Linked DNA regions of Stegostoma tigrinum. The protein of the gene in region 3 purifies or fractionates together with the protein of the main gene of each other region. This does not show direct contact. Links are inferred from orthologs where the notes say so. Each region holds a gene or a part of one and is shown on either strand. Other genes may lie near its edges.

Region 1 (7,850 bases), on a different chromosome or scaffold from region 3:
ATAAATATTGAGAAAAAACCTGTAAGTAGTGTTTCCAACAGTTTTATTTTTGCCCTATCTCATGTGTGATCCCTTTCCTTGTGTGATCAACACTGACTGTTTATTAACTATTTTACTGAATTTATGTTTGGAAAGTACTGTAAAGAAAAAATCACATTAAAATGATACATTTCAGGACAGCCATATTTGTTAGCAAGTTTTGAGAAGATTTGTAGCTCAGGTTGAGGTTCTGGATGTAAGTTTGCTTGCTGAGCTGGAAGGCTCGTTTTCAGACGTTTCGTCACCATTCTAGGTAACATCATCAGTGAGCCTCCGGTAAAGCGCTGGTGTTATGTCCCGCTTTCTATTTATCAGCGAGCAAACCCACATCCAGAGCCATATTTGTGTTCAGGACACCCCAAAGTGCTTTACAGCCACCAAAATTTTCTACAATGTGGATACCATTGTATTGCAGTGAATGTAGCAAGCAATCTCAATATACAACAAAGTTCCACCGACAGCAACTTCACAATCACTGGTTAATGTGTTTTTATAATTTTCGGTAAGGCAATATCATTGGCCTGGATATTGAGAACCTCCCTGCTCGTCTTCAACTGGTGGCTTGGGAAATTTTATGACCATCTGAGAGGTGAGACAAGGCATTGGTTTCATTTCTTTTAGTGTAACTATAGCAGTTCTGATAGCGCAGCACTCATTTTGTACTGGATTGGAAGTGTCATCCAAAACTACTTGCTCAAGTATCAAAAGGCGAACATGAAGTTTTGGCCTTCTGTCTCAGATGCTGGACTATTTTTCCTCCAATTTTCACCCTAGAATTTCTCATCTAATTTTGTTGTATTGCCTCTACATTTTCTGTATTTGGGTTGGTTTTATTTTAAATTATTATCCCAATAATTTTCTTTCTTCTCTTCATTTATCCACATTTTCTGCCTGTTGAGCAATGTCTGATCTGTATTGGAGTCATCTGCCTTTTGTACATTTCCTGGTGTACTTTACACCCTGCCCATTCTTCTACCAATTTATCTAGTTTAATTCCATTCTATTCTCATTAATATTGGCTTTTGCCTCAGTTAAACATTTTGATCGTTGGCCGCTCCTTCATCTGTCCAACTTTCAATTCAAGCTTGTATTTTCAATTGGCTCTTACCTACATGTATCCTTACCCTCATCTTACCAAATTGTTTCACTTCAACTTGTTAGTTTGTTTGTGTGTTTGTTTAATTACAACAAAAAGAGAAAATGTCGTAACTGCACACAGGAAATTTAGCATTTATGAATAACTAAGACTTGGCTGATACTGAGGCTAAATGACCTGCTGTGTATTTCTAACACTTTTTATTTTTAGCTTACATTTTCAGCTTTTACAATTTCCTTTCCTCTAGCAAAAATAAAGATAGAAAACATAAGAATATTCAACAATGTATAAACTTCAGGTCTATGATTGTTCATCAAAACAACTTATTCAATTTAACCTGCTACAAACTCAGTTTCACAAATTCTGAATTGTTAAAGAAAGAAAAAAGCTGCCTCTATGTAATATCGTCAGGACCACAGGAGCTCTCAAAATGCTTTAAAGCCAATAGTGGTATGCTATTCAAAAAGGGTGATAGGGATAAACTAGGAAACATCAGGCCAGCATGTGGAACTATTTGAAAACATTCTGAGGGACAGAATTAATCTCCACTCGGAGAGTCTAGGTTTGCCCATACAGCTTTGTCAAGGTAAGATAATGTGTAACAAATTTAATTACATTTTTTGAGGAATTGACTAGGTGTGTAGATGAGAGTAGTGCCATTGATATAGCCTACATAGACTTCAATAACTCTTTTGACAAGCTCTCGCATGGCAGACAAATTAAGAAGCTAAATATCCATGGGATCCGGGGCAATTTGACAAATTGGATCCAAAATTGGCTTAGTTGCTGGAAGCAATGTTTATAAGGCCAGTAAGTTCATAAATGACACAAAATGATATGGTAAATACCAAGGAGCAAAGCTTTAGTCTGCAGGTTAACATACACAGCTCATCAGATGAGCTGAACAGTGACAAAAAGAATTTAGTCCTGAAAAGTGAGATGATGCATTTTGAGACAAATAACAAGGTGACAGAGTACAGGTTTAACCCTCAGAAGTACAGAGCATCAGAGACACCATTAGAGTATCTGTACCTGGATCCTTGAAAGCAATAGGGCAGTAGATAAATATGGATAAGGCATATGGATTTTAGCCTTTGTTTTGAGGCATTATGTACAAGAGCGAGGAGGTCATGATGGAGGTGTGTAAAACATTAATTAGATCACAACTGGAGTGCTATGCGCAGATCTGTGTGCTGCATGAGAGGAACGATCTCATTGCACATGGTGCAGAGAAGATTCACTTGGACGTTGCCTGGGCTGGAGTGATTCAGCTATAAAGAGAGACTAGATAGGCTGAGGTTGTTTTAATTTGAGCAGAGAAGGCTAATGGGAGACATAGTAGAGGTGTTACAAAGTTATGAGGGGCATAGATAGGAAGAAACTTCTCCCATTGGTAGAGGGGCTAATAAACAAAGAACTTAGAAACAAGGTATAGGGCAGGAGGTTCAGAGGGGTTTGGAATTTATTTTCACATCTAGAGCAAACACCTAAAATAGTGGTATAGGAGGGAATTCTCGCAACTTTTGAGAAACATTTGGATGAGCAATTAAAATACTTCAATATAAAAGGCTATGGGCCAAGTGCTGAAAAATGGGATTGGATAGGTGTTTAAAATTTTTGAGAAGATTTGTTGCTTGGGTTTTAGTTCAGGTTGTAGACATGTTTGCCAAGCCAGTGGGTTTGGCTGCAGATGTTTCATCATCCTGCTAGGTAACATTGTCAGTCCATTTCTGGTTAAGCATTGATGTTCTGTTCCACTTGTTATTTATATGCCTCAGTTTGTTGGGTAGTTTGGTACCACTTCTGGTCTGTTTCTCATTGGTTTGTACATCGCATCTAATTCAGTGCATTTGTTATGGGAGTTCCCGTTAGAATACCAGGTCTCCAGGAATTCCCTGGCGCATCACTGTTTAGCTTGTGACATTATGGATGTGTTGTCCCTTGTTGTCAATGTGTAGTGAGACAAGTGAGAAATGGTTGTGTCTATTGGTGGCTAGTTGGTGTTTTTGTATCTGTATTGTCAGTTTTCTTCTGATTTGACCTGGGTTGTGTTTCTCACAGTCCTTGCATGGTATTTTGTATATTACACCAGTTTTGGGTATGGGATCCTTTATGTTTGTAAGTAGCTGTCATCGAGTGGTTGTTGGTTTGTGGACTACTTCGATACCTAGGGGTCTGAGTAATCTTGTGGTCATCTCTGAAACCTCATTGATGTGCAGTAGGGTGACTAGTGAGTCTGGTTGTGTTGTGTCTTCCTGTTGCAGTCTGTTGGTGGATTGTGCTTTTTGAGTATCCAATCCTTTTGAAGACTCTGTATAGATGCTCCTGTTCTGCTTTGTGTAGATCGGGGTTGCTGCAATGTGTTGTATGAAACAGTATCCTGACGCAGCTTTGTTTATGGGTGTTGATATAATTGAGTATCTGGTGCAAATGGGTGGTCTTTCTGTAAACGCAGGTCTGGAGTTCCCCTTTGTGTTTGCGTTCTACCTTTATGTCACTTTACCGATGATAGACAATAGACTTCTGAGATTAAATTGTTCTTTTATTGGCTAACCCAACATTTCACTTTTTGACTCTACACGTCTGGCGACTGACCCTCCATTGGATACAGAAAGATCCTGCCTTTCCCTCCGGAGGTACGAGGGCCTGAGAAAGGACGGCACAGATTTACAGACAATGGGAACTGCAGATGCTGGAAAATCCGAGATAACAAAGTGTGGAGCTGGATGAACACAGCAGGCCAAGCAACATCAGAGGACCACCTATCATGCTGCTTGGCATGTTGTGTTCACCCAGCTCCACACTTCGTTATCAGAGATAATGGGAACTGCACATGCTGGAGAATCCAAGATAACAAAGTGTTCCACAAAAATCACCATGAAGGGTCTAGGCCCGAAACGTCAGCTTTTGTGCTCCTGAGATGCTGCTTGGCCTGCTGTGTTCATCCAGCTCCACACTTTGTTATCGTGGGTTCTCCAGCATCCGCAACTCCCATTATCTCTCTCCACACTGTTATCCGGGCGCAGATTTGCTCATGCGCATTGCGGCTCAGAACCCGACGGCCTGCGCCGTTGCCAGTAGAGGACACGCCCACCATCGAGGACCAGAATGCACATGCGCGATAATAAAATGTGAGGCTGGATGAACACAGCAGGCCAAGCAGCATCTCAGGAGCACAAAAGCTGACGTCTGTCCCGGCACATGCGCGAAACTGGATATCCAGCGCAGGCGCAAAGCTGGTCGGCTTTAAATCAAAAAGCGCAGTTGTGCGGGGAGGTTGAGGCCCTGGGAGGCAGAAGAAGGGTTCGGACGGCGTGACGTCAGCAGCACTAGCGGCTCGCTTGAAGCTGTCGGCGCATGCGTAGATAGGGTCTATGGAGGGGTGGAAATTGATTAAGGATGGGGGCGGGTCCTCAATAGAGGTGGTAAAATCGGAAGTAGCTGGGAAAATTCAGTAGGGCTGGCATCATCTGTGAAGAGAAAGTAATTTTAATGTTTCGGGTCCGATTACCCTTCTTCAGAACTGAAGCCTTGACTCCACAGGTGCTGCCAGACCTGCAGAGTTTATCCAGCACTTTCTGATTTCCAGCACCGCACTGCTTTAGTTTTCCCTTTGGAGTGGAGTGGGGCTCTGAGGAGGACGGGCTAGAGGGATTCAGAATGGGGTCGAGAAAGTTGGGCGGGGTCTAGGGAGGTTGAGAAAAGGTCGAAGTTTGGTGCGGCGGACGCGCATGCGCCGGTAGCAGTGGGTGAGGCAGAGACAGCGGCCAACCGTCAGTGGGTTTGTTTGTGACAGCAGCGGCTTTATAACATCATCATCATCATCATCATCGTCATCAGCAGCAGCTCGATTCAGTCGAGGTCATGGAACGCGCAGAGCGGTTTAAATTTTAACGGCCGGCCCCGCGCGCGCGCGCCGCCGAGCGGCCAGAGGAAGTCCAGGGCCGGTGGACTGACCAAGTACCGGGGCGGCGTCACCGCCACCGCGGTCGTGGTCGTAGCCGCCGGCGTGGAGGCCGAGGGGACGGACGAAGGGTTTTGGGCCCCAGCCATGGACGAACACCCGGGAGCCGGGGTGTTCTTCGGCAATAACTCAGTGCTGAGCGGAGGAGGAGGCGGCCCGGGTATCGGGAGCAGGAACCTGCAGCCGGCGCAGCAACCGGGGCCCGAGGGGGAAGCTCAGAGGCCGCAGTACAACATTCCGGGGATCCTGCACTTCCTGCAGCACGAGTGGGCCCGCTTCGAAATAGAGAGGACGCAGTGGGAGGTGGACAGGGCCGAGTTGCAGGTAAATAACGCACCCCTCGGCCAGGCCGCGCTTCATGCTTGGATACTCGATTGCTGACCACCTCTCCCTGATCAACGGGGTAAGGGGGTGGTGGATACGTTAAGATGGCCGCCTGTCAAAGGAAGGAAGGAGGATAGTGTTGCTTTTTCTTCAAAGACCCTCAACTTTGCAGCTCTTCCCCAGTGACGATGACAGTTTAAATCAGAGGAGCTTTGCAACGACATTCCAAAAATGCCTTCAGTAATATTCTTAAACGGAATTGGGCAAGTTACTTGCAGGGGAAAGTTTGTAGGACCTTTGAAGAAAGAGCAAGTGGTCGGTATCGTTTTGAGTTCTTTCAAAGAGCCAGGACAGGCGCGATGGGTCGAGTAGACTTCTCGGTGCAGCCTGATTGTATGGAATGCTCCAGAAGAAATATGATCAGTTAATTGGCCAGGATTGTCAGTAGTTAAAGGGAGCAAACTTAAAATAGACAAGAGCACCAGAGGGACGAAGAATTTTTTTCTTGAGACAGCCATTTATGATCTAAATGCACCCTCTGAAAGGGGAGGAAGAACAGATTTAGTAGTAGTGGCAGTCAGATAAATACTGGGAGAATGGGGAGATTGCAGAGATATGGCTGAAGACCAGCGGAGTAGAAATAACTAGATAGTTTTGTCAAAGAATTGGAAGTGGAATGATCTGTGTGTTGGGACAACTGCACGGTTAAACAATCATGCACTTTTTGCTCCATCCACTAGCCTTTACCCTCACCAGTCCTGGTGATCCAGCCTGTATGAATTGATCGACATTAACTTGATTCAGCTAGACTGTTGGTTCGTTCTTGAGCAGTTCTGAAGGGCCTTGATTTAAATTGGTTGTACTGGAACAAGATTCAGTATTCTGAATTGAAGGGAGTCACCTTTGGCCTCATTAGAGATTTAAACATCCATGATTTAGCAATTTCTGCCCAGTGTTTTCTGTTGTTATCTATCAATGAATCATTGTAACCAAAGGTTACACAATGACATTCCAAAAGAAACACAGCTGTCCTGAATAGTATAATGTTCTTGGTATAGTCTAAAGGATTCCCCACAACGTAACAGGACAAAAATTGGAGTTTTTGATCATTATACATCAACCAGAGCACCACCTTTTAAAATTATAGTAATTTACACGCCTTGGTCAAGATCTGTGTGACATTCCTGAATTTGGTGTGTCTAATGGCATATCATCATGCCTAACATTATTGTTCAAGACTGCATTTCAACAACTTACATTGTGTCTTGAGTGTAACTTTTTTTAATGTTTAACAGTTGTTAGGAGAAATTGACAAAATTGCAGAAAGGCTTGACAGCATGTTGAAAAGAATTAGACAATGTCTTTTCTCCATTATTATAATAGAATAAACCCAAAGTTGAGATCGTTATGGGATGTGTACCTTGTGAGCTGTCTACCATTTACGTATTATCAAGGAGTAACCATGGGATACTGTTCATGCAGCTGGTTCCATTAATATTTCTGTTGCATTGTTTTAGGAATCTGCAGGATATGAAACACTCCCAGCTTTTTTATTTATACAAATAATGTAAAACCAAAAGGGAAGCTGAGACTTCAGTGTACCCTCTTATACTTGAAATATAATTTACTAAGCTGAATGTTCTGTGGCCGTGGCACTTCAGCATTCATAACCTTTAGCCTACGAAATCTGAATTCTTGAATTATCTATCAACTCAGTATGTGGAAGTATTTCTTCTGAAAGCTACCACTTTCAGTACCTTTAACATATCCCCACTGCTTTCCTGTTGCTGATTTCCCCCTTGAGTTTCTCTGACTTGTTATTGAAGCTAAGATTTTTTAAACAATTACCTATTGAAATGTCGGTAAAGTGCTTACTACAGCAACTAAAGCTACATGAACTTATATAGAACCTTTTAAACATTTTAAGGTGATTTGCAGGAGCAAATACCCTCATGGGGATATTGGGGTAGATGGCAACAAGCTTGGTTAAAGAAGGAGCATCTTAATGGAGGAGAGAGAGGTACTGTACTTTAGGGAAGGAATTCCAGAGGTTTAGGACCTCTGAGATATACCATGGGCCACAGTTTTGAATTACTGCACATTTTTAAATAGGGTAAAAAGTGGAGCTAGGATTGTAATATGTTGGCAAAATATAGAAGTAACATGAAGGTTTCAACAGAACGTGAGTTCAATTAGGCGATGCTAGAGTTGGAAATAAACAATTGTATTGATGGTATGGCTATGTAATTGGAATCTCATCTTGGTTAAAATGACAGGTTTACGTGTTCCCTGGTTCAGACTCTGGCAGCTGTGGGGGAAAAGAATGGAGTTTTTGGTGGGAGCAGAAACACCATGCTGCTTCCAATAAATTATAAATTTCAATCTTATGGTAACTTTTTACAAGGTGCTAATGAGACCCTAGCTGGT
Region 2 (7,638 bases), on a different chromosome or scaffold from region 3:
GAGATATAAATCTTCTCTGCTTGAACCTGATTTTCTTGAGTGTCTGCAAGTCACTGAACTAAATGTTAACTCTGTGTGATCTGCTCTTGTATGTTGTTTTAGAATTGGTCCCTGGCTGTTAAATGGTGTCTTACATGTATGTGAAACATATTTGTATTTTAATCCATTTCAAATTTAAACTTGTTTTTCTTCTCTCCCAGAGCTCAAGATCTGAGGATATGTTTTGCACTTTGAGTTTATAACTTACAGCAGTTCACATTTCTCCAGCATACAGAAATGCAAAGCAGGAGATATTAAATGACAGAAGTAGAAGGTGCAAGGTCAAGTTGATGGTAATGGGACAAGAAAAAAAAGACATCTCCACAGCATGTGTAAGTGATATTATGGAATCATTAGCAATACATTTTGTTAACATTTAAAAGGTAAGTACGTGAAGAGGAAAGGTTTGGAGGGGTATGGACCAGGTGCAGGCAGGTGGGACTAGTTTAGTTTGGGATTATGTTTGGCATGGACTGGTTGGACCAAAGGGTCTGTTTCCATGCTGTATGACTCTATGACAACTTAAATTAGCTTGTTAACAATCTCAACTACTCTTCAAATCTTTTCCTGGGTGAAAGATATCCTTAGTGCTTTATTAACACTCCAAATATTCATTTATATACTGTAGTGAATAAGTTCCTCAGCTTCTCTTCTCCTCAAATAGCATCTAAAACTTTAAAATGATTCACTCATTTATGTGTTTATTAGGGGCAAAAGTAGACTGTCCAGGCAGATTAGGTCTGTTTCACCATTTCATGAGCTCACAACAGATTATATCACCCTCAACTCTACTTTCCTGATGCCCTTTGATTTCTTTACTGGTTAGAAATCTGTCCATCTCAGCCTTAGACGTATTTAATGACCCAGCCTCAAAAGCACTCTGTGGTAAAAAAATCCACAGACAGAACACTGTCTCCAACTCCAGTAAACATTTCCTTAGATGAAAAGACCAACCTATTCACAGTATTCTAGGTGTGGTCTGTCTAGTGTTTAGTGTTGTTTTAGCAAGAGTTCCTTATGTTAAGTCACTATTCCCTTTGAAATAAAGGTCAACATTTTACTTGTCTTCCCAACGACCTGCTGAATTTGTCTGCTAATATTTTGTGATTTAAGTATGAGACTCCCATATCCCTCTGTGCTTCATCTCTCTGAAGGTTTTCTCTATTAAAATAATACTCAGCACAGGCAGCTACTGAATATACCTGTTGGGTTCGTACTAGGATTGCGTCTCATTCATTCAAGCAGATTTACAAAGTGACAGTATAAAACTGAGGTTTAAAGTATGAACTGTTTTGTCATGTACTACTCTTTGGAAAGCAGTGATCCATGCCATTAAATGGAGCTCGAAATGGCATTATCAGATCTTGCTACTCATAAATACCTCTGTGAGAATTTCCCTCATGTTGACAGTCCTGGTTGGCAAGTTGGGCTAATATAATTCACCATTTGTTTGCCATGATTTTTTGGCGTCCAGAGCAAAGAGGTTTGACTGCTTCAGGACAATACTCCAGAGGTAAGTTTGTGTTCATATGTGTTCTATTGTGGATTATGCATTGGACTATGAGATTCAGCATTTCAGATAATCCCAAAGCATACACAGGGGGAAGCAGTGCTGTAGCAATAATATCACTGGCATCATACTCACTGGAAATCAAGTCCCACTGCTCCCAGAGTCACTACAAATATTGAATGTTAATTAAACTCCTGACAATCCTGAATAAAAACCAAAAGAACTGTGGATGCTGCAAATCAGGAACAAAAACAAAGTTGCTGGCGAAGCTCAGCAGGTCTGGCAGCATCTGTGAAGAAAAAAAAACAAGAATGAGTGTTTTGGGTCCAGTGACCCTTCCTCATCCCTGGGCAATTTAGCATGGCCAATCCACCCAACCTGCACAGCTTTACACTATGGGAGGAAACCCACACAGACATGGGGATAACTTCCAGACTCCACAGTCAGTCACCCGAGGCTGGAATTGAACACGTTTCCCTGGCACTGAGTACCGACAGGGCTAAGCACTGAGCCACCATGCTGCCCAGTTGTATCAAAAATGTTAAGAAGCCTAAAGAAAGGAATGTAACTAGGTGAACTATCTGGCATTGGTCTAGACATGTGAATGACAATGGTAAACCTAATCCTGCCAACTCTGCAAATATTTTCTTGCTAATATTGGGAAGGTCATGGAAGAGCTGTCCCTCAGGCTAGTCAAGCAACAGCCTGTCAGTCATATTTTCCAAATCATACCTTGCAGTCAATGTCCTCATGAGGTCTTCAAACTGGACTTCAGAACCCATGAAATTTCACGGAATTGGGTCAAACATCAGGAAGGAAACCCCCTTCTGATTACCATCAATGGCACCACCATTTATCAGCTGGTCAATCAGCGTACCACATGGAGGAAGCACTGAGACTGGCAATGGCACAGAATATACACTGGACAATGGACTTCAATGTCTGCCAATAGGGGTGGCTCGGCAGTGCCATTGTTGACCGAGCTGGTTAAGTCCTGAAGGACATAATTGTAAAAGTGAGACTGCGGCAGGTGGTAAGGGAACCAACAGGAGGAAAAACTTACTTGGCCCTGTCCTCACCAATTCATCTGTCGGTGATGCATTTGTCCAATACAGGAGTGCCCATCATATGGTCCTTATGTGACAAAGACCCATCTTCACATTGAGAATCTCTTCTATTCATGTTGTGTGGCACTACGACTGAGCTGAATGGGACAAACTTCAATCAGATGGAGCAACTCAAATATGTGCACCCATGAGGTACTGTTTGTCTTCAAACAGAATTGTATTTAACCACGATCTGTAGCATCTTGGCTTGGCTCATCACTTGCTATACCATTACCTTCAAATCAGGGCATCAGCAAAGGGGTTCAATGAAGAATGCCAGATGGTATACCAGGAACAACACCAGACAAGCCAACAAAATACAGTGCCAACCTGGTGAAGCTACAGGACTACCTCCGTGAGCAGCACACAAAAGTCAGCCAAACAAACCAAGGATCAATGTATCCGATCTAAATTTGCAACCCTGCTGCATCCAGTTGTGTACAATGGTGGACAGTTAAACAACTCACTGGAGTTTGAGGCTGCACAAATATTTTCATCCACAATAATGAGGAACCCAGCACATCAGTGCAAAAGATAAGTCTGAAGCATATGTAACAACTAGAAATACAAAACGGATGGTCCATTTCAGTCTCCTCCAAAGATCCACAGCATCATGGATGCCAGTCTTCAGCTAACTTGATCACTCCATGTGTTTTTTTAATAGATATGGCTGGAGGTACTGGGCATTACAAAGACTGTAGGCCCTGACTACATTCCATTAACAGTAACGAAGACTTGTTTTAGAATTTGCCATACTGCTAGCCAAGTTGTTCCAGTAGCGGTGTTCTCTCTGGTATCCTGAGGACTTCACAGGTCCAACCGGAAGGCATTCTGGCACCCTCTGGTGTCAGGGCATTTAATTGCCTCCTATAAAAGTGACTTTCAGCCTCCCCTGGTGGCAGGAGATCATCATTGCATCCACTGGTGTGCACTCGAGCACCCTGTGGAGTAAATAAAGCTTCACTAATTGGAATTCAAGACGAATGGGAGACAACCTAATTGAAACATTCAAGATTCTTGGGGGAAATTGAAAGGTTGTTTCTTTTTGTGGACAGTCTAGGACCACAGTGCATAATCTCAGACTCAGTGGCCACAAAACTAAAATAAGACGCGAGATAATTTCTTCCCTCAGAGGATGGTGAATCTGTACAGATCATGATGCAAAGGGCTGCGAAAGCTGGGCCATTAAGTACATTCAAGATAGGATTTTAATATGTATGAGATTCAAGGGTTGTGGAAAAGGTCAGAAAATGAAGTTTAGTGTTATCACATCAGCCAGGATTTCATTAAATAATGGAACAGATTCAGTGGGTTCAATAGTCTAACCCTGCTTGGGCCGAGGCGTCAGCTTTGCTGCTCTGATGCTGCTTGGCTTGCTGTGTTCATCCAGCTCTACACCTTATCTATGAAGGCCCAGCTTGTTGGCTTCACACACCTCTTATTTTTAATTTTTAAAAAAAACCCTCGCCACAGCCTTTTCCGCCCGATGGACCTCTTTTTAAGTGAGATTGGGTCACAGGCGCTCGAACCGGACTGCGTTAATTCTAAGTCCTAATTAATTAGCTGTAATTGATTAATCATATATACGGGATCATTGAGCCTGAACCACCGACAAACAAAACCTTCCGACCTGGTTACCTAAATCCTGCCGGCCCGCTCCACCTGCAACCCCCCTCCACCGTTCGGCGGTCTCCGTGAATGACAGCAGCGGGAAGAGGTCGATCATGGAGCCCCGCCCTGCCTAATATAATAGGCCCCGCCTTCCATCCGATCAGCTCCTGCTTGTAACCGCGCCCTCGGGCGGCTGGAGGTCGACATTGACGCCTATTCGCCGGGCCTTGGCCCCGCCTGCTTGGCTGTTGCGCTCCGCCCCTGGCTCCCGCTCCGCCGGAAGTCCCAGGTCCGGCGAAATGACGATGGATGAGGGGGCGGGCAGGATGTCGGGGACGTCACGCTCCCTTTGCCCCGCCTCCGGCTGCAGCGCCGCCGGGAGGCGGGAGGTCCCAGGCCCCGTTCCCCCCAGTGAACGGAGCTCGTTCCCCAGTCTCGGTCACTGTTGCCTTCGACCGGCGGCGGAGTCAGTCACTTCCAGACCTTTTCGTTCACCTTTTCCTACGCAGCCTCCGCTCCGCACTGTCCTCAGCCCTACAAAGCGATCGGTGTCGGAGGTTGTGGGGGTTTATGAGACCGGGCCGCACCCCATTCGGGGGCTGAGGCTTGGGGCCTAACCTGGACTGACTGCCCCCCACCCCCATTTAAAAAAAACCCACCTTGGCTGAGGCGCTTGGTCGGTGTCGATTCCTTCAGGACACTCGGGCTGTTACCCCCTCCCCCTTCAGGAATCCCGAGCAGGGCCGGCGGGATGGCTCAGTCCCCGGAGCAGGCCACTCTGCCCGGGGTACAGGTAAGAGATTGAGGCTAGGCTGGGGGTTGGGGAAGAGGCTGCCCACCAGGCTTTAACAACAAGGGCTACAGCAGCGTCTGTTTATAGCATCTTTTAACATTTGGGTCTTGCTGAAGAAAAGCATTTGGTTCTGTACGGGTCAAGAATGTTCACATTCAGCTACTTGGCCTGCTCAGGTAAAAGGTATGCGTCCAGGCATTGGCATCCTTTCACCTGTCCTGATGAGTACAAGAGGAAAACTTCGGCTGGCATGCAATTTTCTTCTGCAACACTTGTCCAACCAAACAACAGCCTTTAACGACGGAAGCTGCATACCAGCCTCACCCAGTCGCACTGAGATGCTAAAGATAGGTGACCAAAGGCTTAGTGAGATTTGGTTTTAACCTTAATAATGAAGAGTGAGGCAGTGAGTTTTAAAGAGGCATTTCCAGAACTTACAGCCCTGGCAACTGAATGATGGCTATCATTCAGAAAACGTCAATTAATTATAAAGGAAGTTATGGCAGAGAATTTAGAAATACTTAATATAGTCAAGCACGACTTAATGAAAGGGGAATCATGTCTAACAAATTTAATAGAGATTGTCGAGGAGATGACAAACAAGATAGATAAAGGGAAATCAGAAGATGTGGTATATATTTTCCAAAAGGTATTCCACAAGGTATTAAACGTAAGGCTACTTAGGAGTTGGTGTAAGGCACAACGCTGTGTTTTTTTTCTTGCGGCTGTTTGGACCTCCATGCCTTATGTGGGACAGTAACATTGGAATTGGGCGTCAGTGTGTTTGCGCACCAGTTGACATATGTTGTCCCTCTGAGGGAGAGGGAACATTGGTAGTGGGTAATATATTAGTATTGAGAGATAATTAGCTAACCAATTGAAGAAAAAGAGGTAACAAGCTGTGAAGCTTGGATGAACACAGCAGGCCAAGCAGCGTCAGAGGAGCAGGAAAGCTGATGTTTTGGGCCTCTTCAGAAAAGAAGGGTCTCGACCCAAAATATCAGCTTTCCTGCTCCTCTGATGCTGCTTGGTCTGCTGTGTTCATCCAGCTCTACACCTTGTTATCTCAGATTCTCCAGCATCTGCAGTTCCTACTACCTCTGAAGAAAAAGAGGTCTAGTTTCGGAATGGCAACCTCTAATGAGTGAGTGTCACAGTGATTAATGTTGGTTCCATAATTATTTGCCACATGTAGTCATGACTTGGATGACGGAAGTCAGTACGATCACCAAATTTGCACATCGTACAAACTAGGTGATGTGATAATAAGGATGATAGAGTCTACAGAAATCTACAGTGGGCTAAAATCTATTAGGTGGAATGTAAACTTTTTTATTCACATTTGGATGTGCATGTTGCTGGCTGTGCTGGAATTTATTGCCTGTCCCTAGTTACCCTAGTGATGGTGAGCTGCCACCTTGGACTGGTGCAGATAATGCTGTAGGTTGACCCACAGTGGTGATAGGAATGGAATTTCAGGAATGTGGGAATATCTGACTTTATGCCTTTTGGCCAGAGGAACAGGGGAGCTGAATGTTATATAAATGTGGTATGATTGTGGACAGCTGAAACACACAGGGATGTCTTCATGCATGAATCTCTCAAAACTAGCACCTAAACTAGCAATTAGTAGAGAAGGCAAATAGGCTGTTAGCCTTTATTTCAAAGGAGATAGATTATAAAAATAGAAAGTTCTTTATAAAATTATACATGGCAGTATTAGTCAAACCATACTTCAAATACTGTGAACAGTTTTGGTCCCCTTATCTAATGGAAAGATATACTTGCATTGGAAGCAGTCTAGGTATCAGTCAACATAACAAAGTGTGGGGCTGGATGAACAGCAGGCCAAGCAGCGTCTTAGGAGCACAAAAGCTGGCCTTTCGGGCCTAGACCCTTCATCAGAAAAGGCGGATGGGGAGAGAGTTCTGAAATAAATAGGGAGAGCAGGGGAGGCGGATCGAAGATGGATAGAGGAGAAGATAGGTAGGGAGAGAATATGTCAGTCCGGGGAGGACGGACAGGCCAAGGGGGTGGGATGAGGTTAGTAGGCAGGAAATGGACGTGTGGCTTGAGGTGGGAGGAGGGGATAGGTGAGAGGAAGAACAGGTTAGGGAGGCGGGGGTGAGCTGGGCTGGTTTAGGAATGCAGTGGGGGGAGGGGAGATTTTGAAGCTTGTGAAATCCACATTGATACCATTGGGCTGCAGGGTTCCCAAGCGGAATATGAGTTGCTGTTCCTGCAACCTTCGGGTGGCATCATTGTGGCACTGCAGGAGGCCCAGGATGGACATGTCGTCTAAGGAATGGGAGAGGGAGTTAAAATGGTTCGTGACTGGGAGATGCAGTTGTTTATCGTGAACCGACTGTAGGTGTTCTGCAAAGTGGTCCCCAAGCCTCCGCTTAGTTTCCCCAATGTAGAGGAAGCCACAATGGGTACAGCGGATGCAGTATACCACATTGGCAGATGTGCAGGTGAACTCTGCTTGATGTGGAAAGTCATTTTGGGGCCTGGGATAGGGGTGAGGGAGGAGGTGTGGGGCAAGTGTTACACTTCCTGCGATTGCAGGGGAAGGTGCC
Region 3 (7,597 bases):
AGGCAGACACACACAAACAAACCAAGTTCCTTATTAATGGAGTCACTTTATAACCTCGTTGCCTTGCAGAATAAATAAGCAGCACATTGTGATGAGGTCTGTTTGCCTGCTCTTATGAGCAATGGTGACCCCCATAACTAAAGAGGTCACCCATGGTGAAGAGGGGCATAAACAGTATTATAGGGTTGCTCTCAAAAGGACTTGCTTTTACTACATGCATAAACATGCCTCAAAGTGGGCATAAATCTCTCACGTTCAAAGGGTCATTTGAAATAAAACGGAACTCCTTGCAGGGTTGAAACAACTCACATTTATATAGAACCTTTGGCAAAGTAAGGCATCAGGGCATCTTACGGGAGAATTATCAAATAAATTTGATAGCAAGCCAAAGCAGCTATTAGGACCAGAAACCAAAATGCTGCTCAAAACAGATATATTTTAAATGAGGGCCTGAAAGCAGAAAAATCAGACACAGAGGTGGAGGGAAGGAATTCTGGATGTTAATGCTTTGGCAATCAAAGGCTGGCTGCCAGTGATGGAATGCTTAAAATCAGGGATGAATGAACAAGAGGCCAGAAAGGTTTTTGATACAATGCCACACCAATAGAGTTATGAGGAAAGTAGGTAATGGAATATAAGGGGCAACAGCAGTAGCAGATACAAAATTGGCTGATAGGAAACAGGGTAGTGGATAATGTATATTCTTTGGGCTAGATAAAGGCTGGCAGCATAGCTGCCCAGCTGAAAGTTTTGGGACCCTTGCTTTTCCCCGATTTTACATAAAATCAAGCAAAATGTGCAAGCGACAATTTCAACATTCGGGGACAAAACAAATCTTGGTGAAATTGAAATCCAGAAAAGAACGCCTGAACTTCAAGAGGACATTCGCAAACGGTGGAGTGGGCAGACAGGCAGCAGATGAAGCTCAATGCGGAAAGGTGTGAAGTAATGCAGTCAGTTCAACTAACATGGACAGACAGTACGAAATAAAGGAACACTTCTGAAGTGTGCGCAGGAGCAAATGGACACGTGCCTAGATCACTAAAGAAGTAGGACAGATAGAGAGTGGTAAATAAAGCCCACATTATTCTTGACTTCATACATAGGAGCACAAAGTACAAAAACATGAAGGCTATGATGAATATTTGTAAGACACTGGTTAGGCGTTAGCTGGCATACTATATTGTGTAGTTCTGAACGTTACATGATTGAAAGGATGTGAATGCATTGGAGAAGTGGGGAAGAAATTTAAGAACAAAGACAAAGACAAAGACAAAGTTGCTGGAAAAGCTCAGCAGGTCTGGCAGCATCTGTGAAGGATAAAACAGAGGTATTGTTTCGGGTCCAGTGACCCAAAGTTGAGGAAGGGTCACCAGACCCGACACGTTAACTCTGTTTTCTCCTTCACTGATGCTGCCAGACCTGCTGAGCCTTTCCAGCAACTTTGTTTTTGTCTTGATTTACAAGATCTGCAGTTCTTTTGGTTTTTATTAAGAATGGTTCTCAAGATGAAATACTCAGTCATGAGAAAAGACTGGAAACATGGGAACTCTTTTCATTGGGGAGAATTGGTAAAAGTATTAAAATTCATGAGAGATCTGGAAAGGCAGATTGGGAAATGACACTCCCACTCAAGAACCAGATGGTTCAGTTTTAAAGTGTTTCACAAAAGATAAACATGAGGTGAGGAAAATCCTTTTCACACAGCGAGTAGTTTAGGTCTGGAGTGTACTGTCTGGAAATGTGGTAGAGGCAGATTCAATTGAGACATTCAAGAAGGGCATTAGATGATTATTTAAATAGGAACAATGAGTCGGGTTATGTCGAAAAGGTGAGGCGTTGGCATAAAGTTAAAACGCTTAGATAGCCAGAGTTACAGGATGGGGCAAATGACAACCTTCTGCACAATAACAATTATGTGATTCACAATGAGACAAAGAGTATTGAACAGACATCGAATCAGGATTTAACCTCAAACAAACCAGGACGAGGCCATTTGCCCCTTGAAGCCTGCTCCCCCATTTGACAACATCACAGATGATCTGATTATATCTGTAATTCCACATTTCCACTACTCCCGATGGATCTGCCATCATGGTGTCCGTTTTGCCTGCAGCACGGTATTTTTTTACCTGATGAGTCAATGCTTACATAAAACAAAGAAAAGCAAATCCTGGAGATCTGAAACAGACAGAAGCAGAAGTTTCCTGTAGACACTCATGCTGCCAAACCTGCCATGAAGATAAAGCAGATTAACTACGAACCCAGCAGGCCCAGCAGCATCTCAGGAGCACAAAAGCTGATGTTTCGGGCCTAGACCCTTCATCAGAGAGGGGGATGGGGTGAGGTTTCTGGAATAAATAGGGAGAGAGGGGGAGGTGGACCGAAGATGGAGAGAAAAGAAGATAGGTGGAGAGGAGAGTATAGGTGGGGAGGTAGGGAGGGGATAGGTCAGTCCAGGGAAGACGGACAGGTCAAGGAGGTGGGATGAGGTTACTAAGTAGGGGATGGAAGTGCGGCTTGGGGTGGGAGGAAGGGATGGGTGAGAGGAAGAACAGGTTAGGGGGGCAGAGACAGGTTGGACTGGTTTTCGGATGCAGTGGGTGGAGGGGAAGACCAGTCCCCCTCTACTGACACCCTCATCCACCTAGCCGAACCCTGGGCCACCTCCAGCACATCCCTCACCTTCCTGGACCTCTCAGTCTCCATCTCAGGCAACCAGCTTGTAACTGATGTCCATTTTAAGCCCACCAACTCCCACAGCTATCTAGAATACACCTCCTCCCATCCACCCTCCTGCAAAAATTCCATCCCCTATTCCCAATTCCTCCACCGCATCTGCTCCCACGATGAGGCATTCCACTCCCGCACATCCCAGATGTCCAAGTTCTACAAGGACCGCAACTTTCCCCCCCACAGTGGTCGAGAAAGCCCTTGACCGCGTCTCCAGCATTTCCCGCAACACATCCCACACACCCTGCACCCGCCACAACCACCCTAAGAGGATCCCCCTCGTTCTCACACACCACCACACCAACCTCCGGATACAACGCATCATCCTCTGACACTTCCGCCATCTACAATCCGACCCCACCACCCAAGACATTTTTCCATCCCCACCCTTGTCTGTTTTCCGGAGAGACCACTCTCTCCGTGACTCCCTTGTTCGCTCCACACTGCCCTCCAACCCCACCACACCCGGCACCTTCCCCTGCAACCGCAGGAAATGCTACACTTGCCCCCACACCTCCTCCCTCACCCCTATCCCAGGCCCCAAGATGGCATTCCACATTAAGCAGAGGTTCACCTGCACATCTGCCAATGTGGTATACTGCATCCACTGTACCCGGTGTGGCTTCCTCTACATTGGGGAAACCAAGCATTCGCAATAAACAATATCCCAGTCGCAAACCATTTCCACTCCCCCTCCCATTCTCTAGATGACATGTCCATCATGGGCCTCCTGCAGTGCCATAATGATGCCACCTGAGGGTTGCAGGAACAGCAACTCATATTCCGCTTGGGAACCCTGCAGCCCAATGGTATCAATGTGGACTTCACTAGTTTCAAAATCTCCCCTTCCCTCACCGCATCCCAAAACCAGCCCAGCTCTTCCCCTCCACCCACTGCATCCCAAAACCAGTCCAACCTGTCTCTGCCCCCCCCTAACCTGTTCTTTCTCTCACCCATCCCTTCATCCAGCCACACATTTTATTACCTTGGATTCTCCAGCATCTGCAGTTCCCATTATCACTAATGTTCTGGACACATGGGTTCATGGCAGATGATGAAATTTGAATGCAATGGGGGGGGGGGGGGGGGGGAGGAAAATCTGAATTAATAATGAATCCGTTGTCAATGGTCAGGAAAAAAAACGCGTCCAGTTCACGTGTAGTAGGAGCTGCCGATGCTGGGGAACCTGAGACAACAAGGTGTAGGGCTGGATGAACAGCATCAGAGGAGTAGGAAAGCTGACGTTTCGGGTCTAAACCCTTCTTCAGAAAGATGGGCATTAAATACTGACCTGGCCAGCGACGCCCTGAGCTTGTGGATAAATAGTAGATAAATGTAAACAGTTGTTAATGCACGTTGCAAATAAAGTTCACACTTTCCTATGTCCTTCTCAATCATGCAAAAAACAAAATACTTAAATTTACAACCACATACATACCAAGTATAAGAAAAGCGCTACACTTCGTCTCAATTCAACTTGTTGCAAACTTCAGAAGAGAACACGGCTTCTGTTTGCTGGATGAGGCCCCGCCCCTTCCCTGGCGTTTAACCTGCCAATCCCGTCAGGGGGCGGAGCTCGGGTGAAACAAAGGAAGCCTCCGGTGGAGGCGGAGTCACGACATAATCACATGCACAGACCTCGGCAGAAGGCGGGGCCCGCGGGCGGAACATAATGCGCATGCGTACTCCGGTGGGCGTTCGGCCGTGTCACAGCTGCGCATGTGAGATGTTTGACTGACGTGTGTTGTGGCAGAAAGCCACGCCCCTCCAGTCCGCGGCGGAAAGACGGGTCGCATAGTTACGCATGCGTAACTATTGACTGACTTTTGTGTCGGGCGAATGAGCCACGCTAGTAGAGTGGGAGGGGGTTCGGACACACCGTCACGCATGTGTAGAATCTGATTAACGGCGGTAAACGCGGAATGGGGCGGAGTAAGGGCGAGCACCGCCCATGTATCTGGAGACGGATCTCGCATGTGCGCATGCGTAGAGATTGGGACAAGGGGAAACAGTTAGCAACCAAAAGAACTGCGGATGCTTAAATCAGGAACAAAAACAGAAGTTTTCGGAAAAGCTCAGAAGGTCAGGCAGCATCTGTGAGGAAAAACAATCAGAGTTAACAATTTCGGGTCCGGCAGCCTTTCTTCAGAACCGAACCACTTCTTGGGCGGAGCTCACACTCTGCCCGCCCCCTTCCGGAAAGGGTTGTGGGGAAACCACCGCGCACGCGCAAACCTTCGCAGGCCGACGGTCGGGCGGGAACGTGCGGGGCGTGGCTCGGCCTTAACCCGCCCCCAGACCTCATATGATTGGCTCGCTAGTGCAGCAATCCGAGCCACCTATTGGACAGAACGGCTGTCAGACAACCTCGATGACGTCCCGAGGTCGAAAGAGGCGGGCGGAAAAAAAAGTGAGAGAGAAAAAAAGATCTGAGATTTTCCACCGGCTTCGGAGAGCAAAGGGGCATTAAATGTAAGTGTTTTTTTAAAAAACTGCCTTAGCTCCATAGTTCTCTTCGTGATTATGCTATGTGTTTGATGATTTTTGCTTCTGAGTCTTTTTTTCTCTCACGATTTTATTTTTTCTTTTTATCCCCTCAATTTTATTCTAATTTTTCCCACTGTTTTTGTTTCTCTTTTATTCCTTTTTCTTTTCCCAGTCACTTCAGGGCTTCTTTTCATGCAGAGCAACAAAATGGATGGATTTGCCTCAGACAGTCTTATAATGTTGTGTACCTTCCTTTCCGATTTGCACTTTGTAAATCCACTGCCTCAACAATTAGACAAAGATTAAAATGTTAATTTTATCTGCGCTGGAAAAAGATTAAAAAGCTTGAGGACCAAGTGCTTTTTCTTTAATGAAGCAAAGAAATCATAATTTCTGCTCTAGTATGTTCCTGAACATTATTTAATTTGTGTTTGGTGCAGTTACACCATTAGGGAATCAGCACTGATATTTTTTCCCACTGTTTTAAGAAGCCAAAATGACTAAAACCACAGCTGGAGTTATAAGGCTTCATTCCAGCAGTTATTTAGTAAATCTTGTTCTTGTTCCACTAGAAATAAAGCAAAGCCTGAGGACAGAATCAATCCCTGAAAGGTTTGTTTGAGCTCAGGCAGGGAAGTTCACTCCCCATCTCCCATTGTTGAGGGGAATGAGCTAACTGAGCATTTACCTCATTGCCATTTCCGGGACCTGATGGTGTGTGAATCAATGACTCTTTTTTTCACCAGTACCTAAACAATGAGACAGAGACTTAGCCTATAATTCAAGTTGAAGTTTGCAGCACTTACTTTCAGAGAAGATGTTGAACCAATGTCCCATCATCTTGGGTCAACATTGAAGACCCAATGTGTACTATTTGGGGGAAAAAAAGTGCTGAGGAGTTCTGCACAATAACCTGGATCAATATTTATGACTTAGCCAAACTGCTGAGCAACATCAGTTAGCGATTGTTGCCTGTGGGAGCTTTCTGTGTGCAAAATGGCTGTTCTGTTTTCTGCACTACATCTATACTTCAAAAGTTGACTATAATTTACATTGAGAAGTCTTGAGCCCATGAATAGTATTATGTAAAAGATAAGTTTTAACACTGTTATACTCAAAAGGTACTTAATTCCATGTGAGATAGTTTTGGATCAAGTATGAAAAATGATCTATAAATTTGAGTTCCTTGATTTGAATTTGGAAGAACAAGTTGTATTTTATATTTACCGTAGAATTTTAGAGTTCCCATTGTTTTAATAAAGCAAAACTAATTCCAAATAAATTAAAGAAAACAGCTCTGTTTTGCAGCTATGTCTCTGCTTGGGGCAAACTATTTTAATGGAAGTAACAAGTGAAATGACCAGTTTTTGTACTGCATTACAGGTATTTTAGAGGGTAGTTATCGAAAGAAAATGTATATTCTCTTGTTTTAAGAGCAAATTATTTCCATTTCTTAAATAATTCACTATTCCATTTGTGATTATATTTCAAAATTCGTTCATACTCTGAATCATTGACTCATTTCTTCTATTTTTTTCTAATTGACTAAGGTCTGTTCTCCATACAATTATTCACATGGGCTTATTTGTTGTGTTATTGCAAGTAGTGCTTTGCTGTCATTGTATAAATAGATGGCTATTATCACACTACTATTATAACAAGCCTATGAATTTGCATTTAAAGTACGATCAGTTGTTGAAAGTCTAGCCATATGTAGTAATTTTTGAAGTCAAAGTTATGATTAACAGTCTTTTTGTTCTATTCAATACACTTTAAGCTTTTTGTGGTAATAGTTCTCTCTAATCAGTGGGCACTAATTGTGTAGTTGAATCCTACTCTCCAGAAAGAGGCCACTAAGCCTGACAATGAGAGCGATTTGAATTAATTCATCCTGTCAGTCACCCTCTGTTTATAACTGTCTCACTGTTGGTAACTGCCTCTCTACTGACATTTCAGCTGTCCAGTAGCTAGTTTCGAAACCTGTTCCAGCTATATTTCTCTTCTGCAAACTCTCAAATGACACCGTGGTGACTGTGGCAAAGGTACACACTCCTTAATCTCCATGTAGTCTCTTTCTTTCGGCGTAAATATTCTGTTTTCCCAGCCACTTTAATTTCTGATGAAGGGTGAGTAGACGCAAAATGACAGTGTTTTTCACTCTACAGATCATCATTCATGCTGCCAAGTCCACTGAATTTCTCCAGCACTTTGTTTTTGTTTCAGATCTCCAGCATCTGCAGTTCTTTACTTTATCCCTCATCCTTCTCTGTCTGCGGTTTTTGGAATGGTTGGTCATGTCGCACTCCTCCAATTTGACTCCATTGTTGTACAGGTAGATGCAGCTGCACTAACTTGCCTGATTCCATTTCGATCTGTC
Region 4 (7,082 bases), on a different chromosome or scaffold from region 3:
GGTTAACTGCACACACGTACTGTATTGTGTCAGTATCTCAAACAATTTTAACAGTTACTTCATATAATCAAAATGTTAAAATAATGAGCATCAGCTAAATAACAATCTCAAATCAGATAGAAGTTCAAAAGTGACAATATCACAGTTATTGCCAAATCAGCCTACACATTTCCTTAATAAGACAAGTGACTACTATGTGACAGCAGGACTTCAATCATCTTGATATCAAACATATCAAGAACTAAAGAGATGAGGAACTGTTTGAACCAGACTGAAATGCTATGTCAGTGTGACCTCAATGTATTTTGGTTAAGTTTGATTCTTCCTGTAACAAAGTGTAACACTTTGAAGGCATGAAGCAAATATAGCATTATTAGAAGATGGAAAAGAACTAAAATTACTCAAATGGAAAGTATTTTGAATTATAACATTTATTTTTAAAGCAATGATTGATATGGACAAGGAAAATTAGACTGAAAATAGATGTTATTCATTAAATAGAATGTATCCTGAAGATAATTCTGGCTGTTTACAATATAGGATAACTATTTTCAGACTCTTCTATCCTCTGCTACTGAAAACCAGCAACTGAAAGAGTCACATTAAAGACACTAACAGCTGCCTCATGCAGGCATGAATGTAGCTCATGGTTACAGTGACTTCCACTTCAGTATTTCTGCAGTTGAATTCCAATTAACTTATGCAGACACTATAATTATCTTATCATCATTGGTTGACGTGATGGGAAACCCCATTCATAGCTCAAAGTAAAAATCTCCATTGTTGACCAATCACTCAGGACTAATGGCAATTCAGTATGATTGAAGAATTGTACTTAGGAACTGTTGATAGTGTAATCAATAAAAACAGATACAGCTGTCCACTTCCCACCGACCAAATCATTCAGCTGGAAGTTGTGCCATGTTCCATTCAGCTGTACTTGCAAGTGCGAGCTCTGTTCATTGGTCCATACTGAATTCAGTCACGTCAGTCAAAGCAGCACTGGGGACTTGTAGTTGACCTATGAATCCGTGGATTGAGAATAACATCCAAGGTTTTATCTTTTCATTATTTACTGACTACTGCTGGAAAACATCACATTATGTGAGCACAGCACCCGAGCATTGCTATGTAGGTCTATAAAACCAAAAAAGTGCATTCAATTAACACCAAATAGACATTGAGGTTTCCTGAAATGTTTCACAAAATAAAATATTCTTGAAATGTAGTTATGGCTGGTTTTCAAATAAACAAGGCAAACTGGTGCACAGCAACAGACTACAAATTAACAAGTTTTTGGTGATTTTGATTGAGGGATATAAATTTGCCAAACACTCGTTCTTCCTCTTTAATCACTGGATCATGGCCCAGTTTAATGTCTCGTTCAAAAGACTGTGATTTGAACAAAGAAGCATCCACTCAGTACTGCTCTGACATACGTACTCTTGAAACTGTATCTTTCCGACTAAAATTTGAGAATGTTACCATTGGGCCATTATGACTGCTTACTAACAACTAATATTCAGACTCAAATGTAAACAATAAGTGCTTGAAAAGAACTTCTGATAGCTACTGGTACAGGATTAGAGTTGTATCAGTGCAGAGACTATCTCCAGGACTTCTAAGGAACAAAATATGAAAAATATACCTTTATAAATTGTCTTTAAAGTGAAGCAGGTTCAAGGAACCAAGTGGCTGGTTCGTGCTCCTAATTTGTATGTTGGTATATTCATAGAGACAGAGTCAGAGATATATAGTACAGAAAACAGACCCTTTGGCCCATCTTGTTCATGCCGACCAAGTATCCTAAACTGATGTAGTTCCATTTGCCAGCATTTGGCCCATAACCTTCTAAAGCCTTCCTGTTCATGTACTCATCCAGATGCATTTTAGATGATATAATTGTACCTCCCTCCACCAATTCATCTGACAGCTTGTTCGATACACAAACCAACCTCTGCATGAAAACATTGCCCCTCAGGTTCCTTTTAAACTTATGTTGACAGAGGCAAAGGAAAAGTAACACGAAGCAACAGGATTAGGATGAGAGATCAAGAGCTTATTCATGGAGGTGATCAAAAGTTAATAAATGCCTGCAAATACATGGTCGGGCCATGGTTAGAATAAAGACAACAGAGTTTTGTAATTTTAGCTTGTGGACCATGGATAATGGGAAGTTGGACTGAAGAATAATTGAATAATTAAAACTGGAAGGGTCAGTTCAATGAATCAGTGTTTTCAATGCAACATGGGTTGAGATAACGGAAGAGCAGATAATGCTACAGAGTTGAATGTTGCAGATCTTCATGATGTACATGGTATCTTGACTGACTGACATCTTTGTTTTTGACTGCGAATGTTACTAACTAATTGCATTCTTATTCCAGAATTTATAATAATTTCTTTTCATCCAGTTTTCTACCCATTCCATTCATTCTAAGTAAATTATATCTGTACACTCTGGAATTTAAAGAAATGAGGGGTGATTTCGTTGAAACATGCAAGTAGTTGAAACTGAAGTCGTAGGAAGTGCTGGAGAATCTGAGATAACAAGGTGTAGAGCTGAATGAACACAGCAGGCTAAGCAGCATCAATGGAGCAGGAAAGCTGACATTTCGGGCCTAGGCCCTTCTTAATTTTCTGAAGAAAGGTCTAGGCCCGAAACATCATCTTTCCTGCTCCTATGATGCTGCTTGGCCTGCTTTGTTCATCCAGCTCTACACCTTCTTATCCAAGATTCTGAAGTGGTTTCGCAGGTTAAAGAGAGAAGGTTTTTCTCCTGTCTAGGGAATCTAGGGCACCAGGGATCAATGATAACAAAGTGTGAAGCTGGATGAACACAGCAGTTCCCATTATCTCTGATCACCAGGGAACAATTTCAGGTTAAGGATCACTTGGGGTTGACATGAAGAGAAATTTCTTCACTCAGAGGTCTGTGAATCTTTAGAATTTTCTACAGAGGTGTGAACTCTCCAGACAAATACATTTCTGATCTCACATAATCAAGATTAATGGGAGAAGATAAGAAAACAAAACTGATGCAAAAGATTTGTTGTGACATTGTGGCTCAGTCATTAACACCACTGTCTCACAGCATCAGGGACCAGGATTCCATTCCACCCTTGAGTGACTTGTCTGTATGGAGTTTGCACATTCTCTAGATGTGTGTTGGCTTGCTCCAGTTTCCTCCCACAGTCCAAAGACATGCCATGCTAAATTTCCCATAATGTTCAGGGATGTGCAGACTCAGTGGGTGAACCATAGGAGGTTGCAGGAAATAAGGTGGGATGCTCTTCAGAGGGTTAGTGCAAATGTGATGGGTGGAATAGCCTGCTTCCACACTGTAGGATTCTATATTTAGTAGATAAGCAGACTTGAAGGTCTGCAGGATAACCCACACCTGGTTTTACTTATGTGTCTTGGATATAGTCAGCCTTCTGGCATCTTTCACCATGATTATTCTTTCCGTAAACTCAGACAATGAGAAATGAATGGATAATTAAGACTGTAGCCCTTAATAGTAAAAAGAACTGGGCAGTGATCAATAATAAGACTGTGGCTGGTTCTCCTCTTTAGCACAGGAACATACACTTGAACCTCTACCCTAGCAAAACCAACAAAAAAAGTCAACAAGCTCCTGTCAGCCAGAATGGTGCAATGCTGAAAATTTTAGCTTCAAGTTAAAGGATTATTGTAGAAAGTTACAGAAACTCTTTCCTGTTGCATTAGCAGGTTCTGTTAAATAAAACTCAATTATCTGAACACACGGGGTCTTAAATAGTATCCGCAAAAGTGATGCGATCACTGATTAGAAATAAGGAAAAAGAGCAAACATTTTAAATTAAACTGAATCGCACCAGACCGTTTCTTAGGGGAAGTAATATCTGAATAGAAACTGATACTTTGATCGTAAAAGGAGAATCTCATTTCATTTGTCTTACACGCTCTTTTCAGTCTCTCTGTAGAAACGACAGGTAAGGTCCTAGTGAGTAGCCTGCAGACACTGAGCAGGTGTGTGGGCCAGTGAGGCGCGCCTGCGCACTAGCGCTGCTGCTGTATTTGGCCAAAGGGCCGCGGCTGCTCCTCCTCCACCGACAGCGCAGCGCCGCCGCCATATTCTGCAGACAGAAGGGCAATGGCGGCTCGCTTGCGACGCTGAAACTCATCCGGTTACTTTCCTTCGCGGACCCTTCCCACTAATATAACAATACCACCGTAGTAATAACAATAATAAACATGGACGAACATCCGATAGGAATGTCCTCACAAAACAATTCCGGAGGTCCTTTGCTGGGCCCGGGAAGCAACGGCAGCAACAACAACGGTGTCCGGCAGCAGCAGCAGCAGGGTCAGCTAGAGGAACTGCAGCAGCGGCCCCAGTACACTATCCCCGGCATCTTACACTATATCCAGCATGAGTGGGCCCGCTTCGAGATGGAGCGAGCGCACTGGGAGGTGGAGAGGGCCGAGCTTCAGGTAGAGTGACAAGCAGTGCTCGCACAGCGGGTCTGGGGGTCCGGGGAGGGCTGATCTACAGCTGGGGACGTCGAACTCGGAATGAGCGATACGGTTGTGTGCTCAGTGTTCGCCCGGGGCTCGGAGGAGGATTGATAGAGCGGATAGTATTTACCCAAGTGTGAGGCTATCCTCGCCGCCGCCATTTTTGTTTCCAATATGGCGCCGGACAGCTGAGTGTAAATAACTGGGAGCATGTTTGTATGTGGGTGCTCATGGACCTTAGGTTCGTCTGATGGTCCTGGTTTTCAACTTAATTTGCTTCTCCTGATTTGTTACCGAATGATGCTGTTGTCGGACAGTGTGCGCCTCTTACATCTCTGATCAAACGGGGAGCCTCAGACCCGGGTGTCTGGTTTTGCAGAATGGATTGTTTGAGCGTTGCTTGGGTAGCATTGCATAAGCCCTTGATGCAGAATATGACTCAGTTCTCATAATTTGCCTGAAACTGTCAATCTGGATAAATGTGTTTGTGTTGAAGCGATTCAGTTGTGATCCGACAAATTGGCACTGACCACATCGGGCATAGACTTGACATTCAGTTGACTGACGCGATATCGTTTTAATTCACTTGCAGTTTCATTGCGATCCTGTCATTTAAACAAATGCATGTTCTCACATCGTGGTAACTGTTTATCGTTGTAACGATGGACAGCTTAAGGCAAAATGCAGGATCTCAATTCCTCGTTCACTTTGGTGGTGTCATTATACCATATATCCATTTCTGAAGTTAATTCTAACAGCAGCATTGTTATATGTTACATGACTTGTTAAGATACCCTTTGTGTCTTCAAAATATTACTTTAAGACAGACAACTGTTTGTATAAACAGTTTGCAACAAAAGGTAGTGTAGGCATTGTAATGTTGAGGACAATGCTGCGTTTTTAGAGGTTCCATCTCTTGGGTGAAATTGTAAACAGGCCATGTTTGTCTGTTGATTTCAAGAATAATTTTGGTACTGTTTACAATTTAGGAGTTCTCACAGATCACTTACTCTTAAAACAGCACTAAATGGATTAACTAGTCATGTTTGAGTTTATATAGAAATCGGATGCAGTTTGTTCGCATTAAAGCAACTACACTTCAGATCTAAAATTCAAATCTTGAAGTGTTTTGAAATAACTTGATAATGTATTTTTTTTTTGAAGAAATGCTACTTGTCGTTACATTCTAACTGACAATATGGTAATAAGTAAATTTTTTTTGTTACTTTTGAATACATGCAACCTTTTTTAAAATACAAGGCAGTGACTTACTTCACTGTCACTAATTAATCTCAGTATTTAAAATTGGTGTACCTGGATTCTTTATATTGTGAGTTTTTATAATTAAATATTATCATTAATATCAACCAGTAGTTTAATTTTGCTAGACCTTTTGAGTAAATGTGATTTTGACTGCTAGATTTTTCTTGAATTAAGTTTAATGATGTAGTTTATGTTTTATTTGTAGTTTTGGGAACAAAATATTTATCCTACATTAATTGAAACCATATACTATATACTGTACTTGGAATCACAGAAACTAGGAGCAGACTATTTGGGCCTTCGAGGTTTCAGTATGATAATAGCTGACCATATGTCTGCTTTCTTCCCATGCCTGTTGATACTTTCAAAATCTAAAAAGGAATCACTTTCTTGAATACATTCAGTAATTTGGCATACATGTCTTCAGTAGTAGAGAATTCCCCAGATTAACTACCCTTTGAAGAATCATAGAATCCATGCAATGTGGAAGCAGACCATTCAGCCCATTGAGTGGACACTGGCTTTCCAAAGAGCGTCTCACCCAGACCTATCCCATAGCCCTCCCTGTAACACTGCATTTCCACCTAGCCTCACACCCCTAGACATTGTGGGCAATTTAGCATGGCCAGTCCATCTAACCTGCTCATCTTTAGACTGTGGAACGATACCAGAGTACCTGGAAGAAATCCACACAGACACTGGGAAGATGTGCAGATAAATAGTTTAACCCATATTTTAATGCTGTTCCTTGATTCTGGACTCCCAATCAGGAAAAAAAATCTTCCCACTATCCAGTGTGTCCAGCTGTGTTAGAATTTACACGATAAGAATCATACCCCTAGACCAACAAGCGTACACAATTTATCTCTGTGTTAGAATTTTATACATTTCAGTCAGATCCCGTTTCATCCTTCTATTGGATCTAACAGAGGACAGCCATGGAATTCTTGGAGGCTTGACATTCATCTGAGGACTCTATCAACCAACACATTGAATTGGATTCAATATATTGACCATTACAATGCACAGCCAGAACTGGCACCTACCAGAAGCAGCAAAAACCAGACCATGTAAATTCAAACTGGCACAAGACAACAGCACTGAGTATGTCATGTAGTAAGGGGACAAAACATCTGCTATCAAATCAACGAACACACCAGCATCTACAACCAGCACTGTCCTATAAATCTAAGGCAACCCCAGTTTGCCTTCCAAATTGCTAGTGCACCCACCCATTGATCGGCTTACAAAGACATCCCGATCCCTTTGTTTATCCATACTTTCCAACACAGCAAGCTTTTTTTATTATCCTGCACATA

What was found.
Region 1: the proteins of cttnbp2nlb (region 3) and strn purify together in Homo sapiens (affinity purification with mass spectrometry; 5 studies listed by BioGRID and IntAct, with this or other methods). This does not show direct contact. The link is inferred for Stegostoma tigrinum from reciprocal best matches to the Homo sapiens genes CTTNBP2NL and STRN.
Region 2: the proteins of cttnbp2nlb (region 3) and serine/threonine-protein kinase 24-like purify together in Homo sapiens (affinity purification with mass spectrometry; 3 studies listed by BioGRID and IntAct, with this or other methods). This does not show direct contact. The link is inferred for Stegostoma tigrinum from reciprocal best matches to the Homo sapiens genes CTTNBP2NL and STK24.
Region 4: the proteins of cttnbp2nlb (region 3) and strn3 purify together in Homo sapiens (affinity purification with mass spectrometry; 4 studies listed by BioGRID and IntAct, with this or other methods). This does not show direct contact. The link is inferred for Stegostoma tigrinum from reciprocal best matches to the Homo sapiens genes CTTNBP2NL and STRN3.

The regions. Positions count from the first base shown.
Region 1 is NC_081357.1:94,950,816-94,958,665, reverse strand, and holds the start of strn (striatin), read left to right. Parts: upstream 1-4,839; 5' UTR 4,840-5,186; coding exon 5,187-5,423; intron 5,424-7,850. UniProt on the Homo sapiens protein: Calmodulin-binding scaffolding protein which is the center of the striatin-interacting phosphatase and kinase (STRIPAK) complexes.
Region 2 is NC_081359.1:18,049,368-18,057,005, forward strand, and holds the start of serine/threonine-protein kinase 24-like, read left to right. Parts: upstream 1-4,626; 5' UTR 4,627-5,017; coding exon 5,018-5,059; intron 5,060-7,638. UniProt on the Homo sapiens protein: Serine/threonine-protein kinase that acts on both serine and threonine residues and promotes apoptosis in response to stress stimuli and caspase activation.
Region 3 is NC_081374.1:6,853,011-6,860,607, forward strand, and holds the start of cttnbp2nlb (CTTNBP2 N-terminal like b), read left to right. Parts: upstream 1-4,596; 5' UTR 4,597-5,205; intron 5,206-7,443; 5' UTR 7,444-7,514; coding exon 7,515-7,552; intron 7,553-7,597. UniProt on the Homo sapiens protein: Regulates lamellipodial actin dynamics in a CTTN-dependent manner. Associates with core striatin-interacting phosphatase and kinase (STRIPAK) complex to form CTTNBP2NL-STRIPAK complexes.
Region 4 is NC_081363.1:61,112,584-61,119,665, forward strand, and holds the start of strn3 (striatin-3), read left to right. Parts: upstream 1-4,077; 5' UTR 4,078-4,236; coding exon 4,237-4,476; intron 4,477-4,630; exon of another isoform or gene 4,631-4,684; intron 4,685-7,082. UniProt on the Homo sapiens protein: Calmodulin-binding scaffolding protein which is the center of the striatin-interacting phosphatase and kinase (STRIPAK) complexes.